Danio rerio: one gene and its partner. The protein of the gene in region 1 interacts with the protein of each later gene in a pairwise test. Links are inferred from orthologs where the notes say so. Each region holds a gene or a part of one and is shown in the gene's direction. Other genes may lie near its edges.

What was found.
Region 2: the proteins of prrc2b (region 1) and ythdf1 interact in a two-hybrid assay, tested with the Homo sapiens proteins (2 studies listed by BioGRID, with this or other methods). The link is inferred for Danio rerio from reciprocal best matches to the Homo sapiens genes PRRC2B and YTHDF1.

What each region holds. Positions count from the first base shown.
Region 1 is NC_133180.1:78,403,485-78,407,482, reverse strand, and holds part of prrc2b (protein PRRC2B), read left to right. Parts: coding exon 1-64; intron 65-398; coding exon 399-460; intron 461-2,408; coding exon 2,409-3,498; intron 3,499-3,998.
Region 2 is NC_133183.1:25,000,744-25,004,741, forward strand, and holds part of ythdf1 (YTH domain-containing family protein 1), read left to right. Parts: intron 1-858; coding exon 859-2,499; intron 2,500-3,998.

The sequences.
Region 1 (3,998 bases):
GACCAGCGGCAGAACCCTGCGCAGAACCGGACCCATCAAAAAACCTGTGCTCAAGCCTCTGAAGGTGCGATCCAAATGTCAATAGTGCAGTTGTTCAATTCAAGTTTTTCTCTAGAGCTTTTCACAATGATTACAACAAACAAACATTGTCAATAATGGCAATATTTGATATTTTATAGACATTTATTTATATCAGGAGAGACTTTTAAAGGCTCATATATTTACAGCTTTTGTACAAATGTGTGTAAATATATGTATTTATTCAGTTTTTATATTATGGTAATATTAAACACTTTTGTTTAGTATAGAATAGGTTATATACAGCTTGTTTAAGCGTTATCTGTTTTTGCCATGAAATACTCAGAGAATATATGGAAATAAACTCTCTCTTCCTGCAGGTGGAGGATAAAGAGAATGAGAAGCCCAAAGCGGAGCCTGAGGAGAAGCCGGTCCCCTACAGGTACGCTTATGATGATGGATTTAAATGGTTCAGATCTTATCTTGAAGGTAGAGGTTACCATGTCAGTATAGGTGACCATAGGTCGAGGTGGACACGTGGAGTCCCTCAAGGCTCGATTCTGGCACCTCCTGCTGTTCAACCTTTACATGCTCCCTCTGAGCCAAATAATGAGACAGAACCAAATCTCTTACCACAGCTCTGCTGATGACACTCAGATCTACCTAGCCTTACTGCCTAATGACTACAGCCCCACTGGCACCCTCTGCCAGTGCATTGATGAAATTAACAGTTGGATGTGCCAAAACTGTCTTCAGTTAAACAAAGAGAAAACTGAAGCCATTGCGTTTGGGAACAGAGATGAGCTTCTCAAGGTGAATGCGTACCTTGGCTCTAAAGGTCAAACAGCAAATAATAAGGTCAAGAATCTTGGTGTGAGTCTGCAGTCAGATCAGAGTTTCAGTAGTCATGTCAGAGCAGTCAGTAAATCAGCACACTATCATCTCACACACACTGCTGGAGTCAGATGCTGTGTCTCCAGTGACGACTCGGTGATGCTTTTATCAGCAGCAGGGTGGATTACTGTCACTGGCCTTCCCAAACACACAGTCAAGACAGTTGCAGGTTATCCAGAACAGGATTCTGACCAGAAAGGGGAAATCAGCGCACATCACAGCTGTCCTCAGGTCTCTACACTGACTCCGTTACGTTCAGAATAGAGTTTACAGTATTATTACTGCTCTATACATCACTGAATGGCCTAGCAGCTCAATACATTACAGATATGCTGACTGAACACACACCTAACAGATCAGTCAGATCATCAGGATCATATACACTAGAAACTCCAAGAGTTCAGTCAGAGCAGGGTGAATGGGCCTTCAGCTGCTAACAGCGCCCCCTGCTGCTGGAATCAGCCTCCAGAAATGATCAGATGTGCTCCAACATTAGGCTCATTCACATCAGGACTGAACACACATCTGTAGCTGAGCCTTTACTGAATGAGCCCTGTGCTGTGGCTCACTCTTTTATAACCTGTTTAACACATTTAATCTGTTTTTAATTACTGTTATTATTTGCTTGTCTTTTTCATTCCTGTTTATGTAAAACACTACTAATTGCCACTGTGTATGAAATGTGCTATATTAATAAACTTGCCTTGCCTTGTTGCGATTTAATAGCTTAAGCTTTTATCATGATATACAGTATTATCACGGTATTGACACAGTCTGCCAGAATTTGTATAATTACAAAAAATATATTGTGTATTGTTAGTGTTATTGCATTTAATCAAGCAATTGTGACATAATGAGATTACAACTTTGTTTTAAATGCGTTATCATGCATTAAATAAGAAATTAACATCAGCTAAGATTAATAAAAGCTGTTGTAGTTTTAATGGGGATTTTAATGCTAACTATTGGAGCCTTATTATATAAAAATAGTTAACATTTAAAACCCTGTAAAATGGGGCTGTGTGCAATATAATGATATATATCATATGGACAAGATAAACCGTTTCATATTACGCTCTATCATTTATTCCATATTATTATTGTTTTATGGTAATACTTTTTCATAAGCACAATACTCAAACCGCAGAGCTGCAATCGTTTGTATTGTATTTAGCGATTATTTTTGTTGATTTATTATATTTTATTAATATTTATAGTAGATTTCTACAATTATAATCAAACATGAGTGAGGACATTTCAGAGTATACGCTTGATTTAAGCGTTCAATGATGCACTCGAATAAATTATGAAAAATCCTTCGCGTAAGCAGTGTATTTTGTGATATCGTTATACTAACGATAGACTGTTTAATTTGTCCCTATGTTGTATGTTGTAATATTGTACACAGCCCTATTATTCACAGTATTTTAAAGTGCTCATGATATCAATATATTTATTATTACGATTTATTGAATGTCAAACTCTGCCCCCTACAGGCTGGAGAAGGAGGTGATCACCAATGTGTACGACCTGAAGAAAGACGCTCCGCACGTTTCAAACAGACACTCCAGCAGCGTCGAAGACAAACAAGCAGACGCTCTGAAGATGGAGAAAACCAGCGCGTTATCTGAAGAGCTCCACAAGGAGAGCTGCTGGGAGAAATCCCAATCCGACTGCTCCGACAGCAGAGATCCGACCGCTCCGAGGCGCAACAACTGGATCTTCATTGATGAGGAGCAGGCGTTCGCTGGAGCACGCGGTCGAGGACGGGGACGTGGCTTTCGGGAGTTTAATTCTCGCGGAGGCGGAGCTCGTGGAGGACGCAGCGACACTAATAGAGGAGCGTACAATAATAACAACAACAACACGGGCGCTCAGAGACTCACACGAGGACGCGGAAACCGAGTGTTTAGAGGGGACGATCTGCAGAGGGGAAAACCGCGCAGACGAAACGTCAGCGAAACGCACAGCGAAACCTCCGAGTACGAAGAGCAGCCCAAACGTCCTCGGCAGAAGGTGTCGGAGAACGGCGGAGAAGCGTCAGGAGAGGTTAAAAAAGCCGACAGGGAATCCTGGAGATCCAATAAAGTCTACACTGACGATCAAAGCGAGAAACCCAAATCTAGAGTGTTCGGGCGTTCGTTCCCGCCGCGCCTCAATGCCGCGTATAATCGCGGATTCACCGGAACCAGAGATATTTCAACGTGGAGAGGAAGAGGAACGCAATTCGGGAGTTCCTCCAGTCAGGAAAACGGCTACAATTTCGTTGCGGACTCTTATTCGAAGCGCACCGAGCCGCTGAAGTATCCTGCTAAATTCACGGGCACGTTTGCGGAGAACGGCGTGGAGGATCGTGACGGAGGATATTATGTTGATGATAATCCGGATAATCGTCCGCTGAGGAGAAGGCGTCCACCACGGCAGGATAAACCTCCACGGTTCCGCCGTCTGCGTCAGGAGCGGGACGGAGCGGGAGCCTGGAGTAATGATGACTACGTGAACGGAGAGTTTCCCAATCAGTGGCCGAGCAGAGCGAAGAGTGCGGAGGAGCACTGGCAGAATCACTACCCTGGAGGACGCTCGCAGGTACGGCTGTGGCGGATTTAGATGTTCTTGTTGTGACTTATTTGTTAGTTTTTATCATGGTGGCCAGATTATTATAATATAGACCAAGGATCGAGGTTGGACCGAGTTTGGGCAGGACCGAGTTTGGGCAGCCCTGATATAGACTATAGGGATCCTCTGATTAATTGGCCAGATATCGGTATCAGCCGATAATCACATTTCATGACTCGATTGATCAGGCTGATCTCATGAGCCAATCACAAGTGTTTGTTTACAAGTTTACACGCAGGGGACGATGTATCCGGGTTAGGCGCTCAGCTCGAGCAGTGTTTCCAATTTGCACTATAACTCATTTCTTTACAATTCTTTAATCTGTTTTCTTTGTGTAAAGCTGCTTCTGACCATTACATGTATACAACATCCTTAATTTACTATCTTAGGTAAGGCAAGATCTCAAACTTAAAGGGTCACGAAACACCAAAACACATTTTTTGAGCTGTTGACAGTCGTATATGTGTCCC
Region 2 (3,998 bases), on another chromosome or scaffold:
AGCCTTGGCTCAGTTGACGTTTCTGTGTGGAGTTTGCATGTTCTCCCTGCTTTCGTGTGGGTTTACTACGGGTGCTCCGGTTTCCCCCACATTCCAAAGACATGCGGTACAGGTGAATTGGGTAGGCTAAATTGTCCGTAGTGTATGTGTGTGTGTGTGTGTGTGTGTGTGTGTGTGTGTGTGTGAATATGTGTGTGGATGTTTCCCAGAGATGGGTTGGGGCTGGAAGGGCATCCACTGCAAAAAAACTTGCTGGATAAGTTGGCTGTTCATTCCGCTGTGATGACCCCGCATTAATAAAGGGGCTAAGCTGACAAAAAAATTAATGAATATTTGAATCATTATAGCTAGGGATGTAATAAAAACAACATTTTAACTTCCGATACAATGTCGATATTGCAACCATCAGTACAAACCGATACCGATATAAATCCGATATCAGCACAAATTATGAATACTTTACTTTTACCCATTTCATTGAGTCGAATGTATGAAAGGCTAGATCAGGGATCACCAACCCTGTTCCTGGAGAGCTACCTTCCTGCAGAATTCAGTCCCAACCCTGATCAAACACACCTGAACCAATTAATAGTACCTAAAGCAGCACTTGATAATTACAAACAGGTGTGTTTGGTCAGGGTTGCAACTGAAATGCAACCCTGTTTATTCATTTGTAGGGGGGTGTGCTCGTATATGCTGAGCACTGTATGTTTATGAGAATTTAAAACATTGAGTGTTACTCAAATTTTATTTAGTGTCATATCTATTGTCCTTTATCCTGATTAATCGTCTAATGAAATGTTTGGTTGCATTTTTTGTTACTAATTCTAATGTCTGTATTTGTGGTATTTCCCCCAGAATAACAGTTACCAATCCATGACCGACCCATACCTGTCTAGCTACTACGCCCCCTCAATTGGGTTCCCGTACCCCCTCAGCGAGGCTCCCTGGTCCACAGGTGGAGACCCGCCGATCCCATACCTCACTCCGTATGCCCCCCTCAGCAATGGAGACCATCACTTCATGCATGACACTGTGTTTGGACAGCCGGGGGGTCTGGGCAGTAGCATTTATCCACACCGCTTTAACTTTTTCCCCGAAAACCCTGCGTTTTCTGCCTGGGGTACGAGTGGCTCCCAGGGCCAGCAGACTCAGAGTTCTGCATATGGGGGCAGCTACAGTTACCCGCCCAGTTCTTTAGGTGGAACCCTGGTGCCAGACGGGCAAACAGGCTTCCCTAGTGACACCCTGAATAAGGCACCAGGTATGAATAGCTTGGAGCAGGGCATGGTGGGGCTGAAGATCGGTGGTGATGTGACTGGAGGTGGTTCCGGAGTTAAGACGGTGGGCTCCGTGATTGGAGGAGGGCCGGTGGCTGCGGCGGTGGCCACGGGTAATGGTGGGACTCCTATTGGACTGCCGCCCCCTAAGCCCACATCTTGGGCAGCCATTGCTAGCAAACCGGCCAAGCCTCAGCAACTGAAGGTGAAGAGTAAGCCAGGGATGCCCATGGCTGGAGGCACCCTGCCTCCGCCGCCCATCAAACACAACATGGACATTGGCACTTGGGATAATAAGGGGCCTGTGACCAAAGTGGCATCATCATTGCCACCTCACCACCACCACCAGCAGCAGCCTCCCCTCCACTCCCAGGGTCACCTTCCACCTCACCCTCATGGACTGCCACCCCCACCTCAGCCCCCAATGCCGTCTGCACAATCACTTGCCCAGCAGATGGCCATGCAGGGCCCACCCCCTCCGCAGCCTTACCAGAACCACGCCCCTGCTCCTCCCCCGCAAACTCGGTGGGTTGCCCCACGCAATCGCAACCCTGGTTATGGTGGTGGAGGAAGCGTGGACAGCAGTGGCTCCTCGAGTGGTGGAGGGGTCGGCAATGGAGGCGGAGGTGGCCCACCGGGCTCCGGCGCCATCGAGTCCCATCCCGTCTTAGAAAAGCTGCGTGCGGCACACAGCTACAACCCCAAGGAGTTCGATTGGAACCTGAAAAATGGCCGGGTGTTCATCATTAAGAGCTACTCTGAGGACGACATCCATCGCTCCATCAAGTACTCCATCTGGTGCAGCACGGAACATGGAAACAAGCGGCTGGATTCTGCGTTTCGTGCCATCAACGGCAAAGGTCCTGTCTACCTGCTGTTCAGCGTCAACGGCAGCGGACACTTCTGTGGCGTGGCGGAGATGCGTTCGCCTGTTGACTACGGCACCAGTGCCGGTGTTTGGGCGCAGGACAAGTGGAAGGGCAAATTTGATGTGGACTGGCTGTTTGTTAAAGACGTGCCCAACAGTCAGCTCAGGCACATCCGCCTGGAGAACAATGACAACAAGCCCGTGACCAACTCGCGTGACACACAGGAGGTGCCTCTGGAAAAGGCCAAGCAGGTGCTGAAGATCATCGCTACCTACAAACACACAACCTCCATCTTCGATGACTTCTCACATTACGAGAAACGGCAGGAGGAGGAAGAGGTGGTAAGAAAGGTATTTTGCATGCAACGGTCTGTTCTGCTGATCTTCATTGCATTGTTGAAGCTTATGTGAAATCAACATTAACAATGTTTGTTTTGCTAGCATACATTATTATGCTTTATGTGAACAGTTAATCCGTGCAAGTTCATCTTCAAAGTCTGACCATTTGCTTCTGTCTTTGGACTAGCAGTCCTACACTGTTAGGATCACTCTTTACTAGGGCTGGGCGAAAAATTGATTTTATGAATTAACTTGAATGTGCAGTTTACATCGAGTTGTTGAAATGAAATCAGTTATCACTCTAGCTCATTCAACCCTCTCCTTTGGGTTTTCAGAGTTCCCCGTCAGTTTGCCATAAGAACACATTAACAACATGGCAGCGAGTAGGGAAGGACTTGGAGATATATTTCACTCTATGAAATGAAAAAGTATATGGCAATACAAGCACACCTGCCTAAAAATGGCATTATTCAGGGCTCTGTCTTGCATTCACTATGAAACACAGACCTTTGAACCTGCTCTCACACCACACATTGTGCTTCTTGTGGAAGTAATTGATATTTCTCAATAAGAAGTAATCTATTACAATTAATGCATAAGATGTGCATACGAATGCAACTGTTACCTATCTGATGTTGAAATTCAACGTTGCTGTTTTTGGGTTAATGACTCTACCCAGCCGCAGAGACGTTCATTACTAGGTATGGTAAATATCAACACTGTGACAAAACTCGCACAGTGCATCAGTCTACCAGAGGCAGTAGCCTGATGCAAATAAAAGCAATAAAACGTAACCCACTAGCCTAGCGTGAGTAATTTATATGAACTTATTTAACACAAAATAAGCATGAATAAACCTCCGAACCAACCATGAAACCTACCTGAACCTCTGTTTATGTTGAAATAAACAGTAGCACAATCACTATGAGTTTACCTTCTCTGTAATTTTATAACATTTTCAAATTTATATTATTATTAAAATGTATGCAGTCGTAAATAGATCTTGTTAAATTGGATTTTTAAATGACGCTAGCAAAGATTCTTGAGGGAGAGTTTTTTCTTTAGCATTTTTAAATATCCTATTATTATTATTATGTAATTATGATACGCGCAAGTAATTATATAGGTTAACAACTTTCAGCTCCACATTTTTTTAGTGGGGGAAAATTGTACATAAATCAAAAAAAAATTGTGTGTGGGGGAAAAGCATTTTTTTTAAAGGCCATATCACCCAGCTCTACTGTTCACCTTAGCCACATTCGTCTTACCGTTACTAGTAGTGAATGATGCACAAAAAAAACCTGTTATGTGATCAATATTCAATTTCTTTTGAATGTACATTAGGATGCTGAAATAAGTGTTAGCAACTAGAAATTGAAAAATAAAGCTTTGTTTTAAAATCTTTTAAAGCTTAGAGAAGCCTATGCAGCAGTAGTCAACTTTTTTGGCTTAAGATCCCTTACATTGGCTTGGCAGAAAGGCAAGATCTACCCATCAAAAAAAAAAAAAAA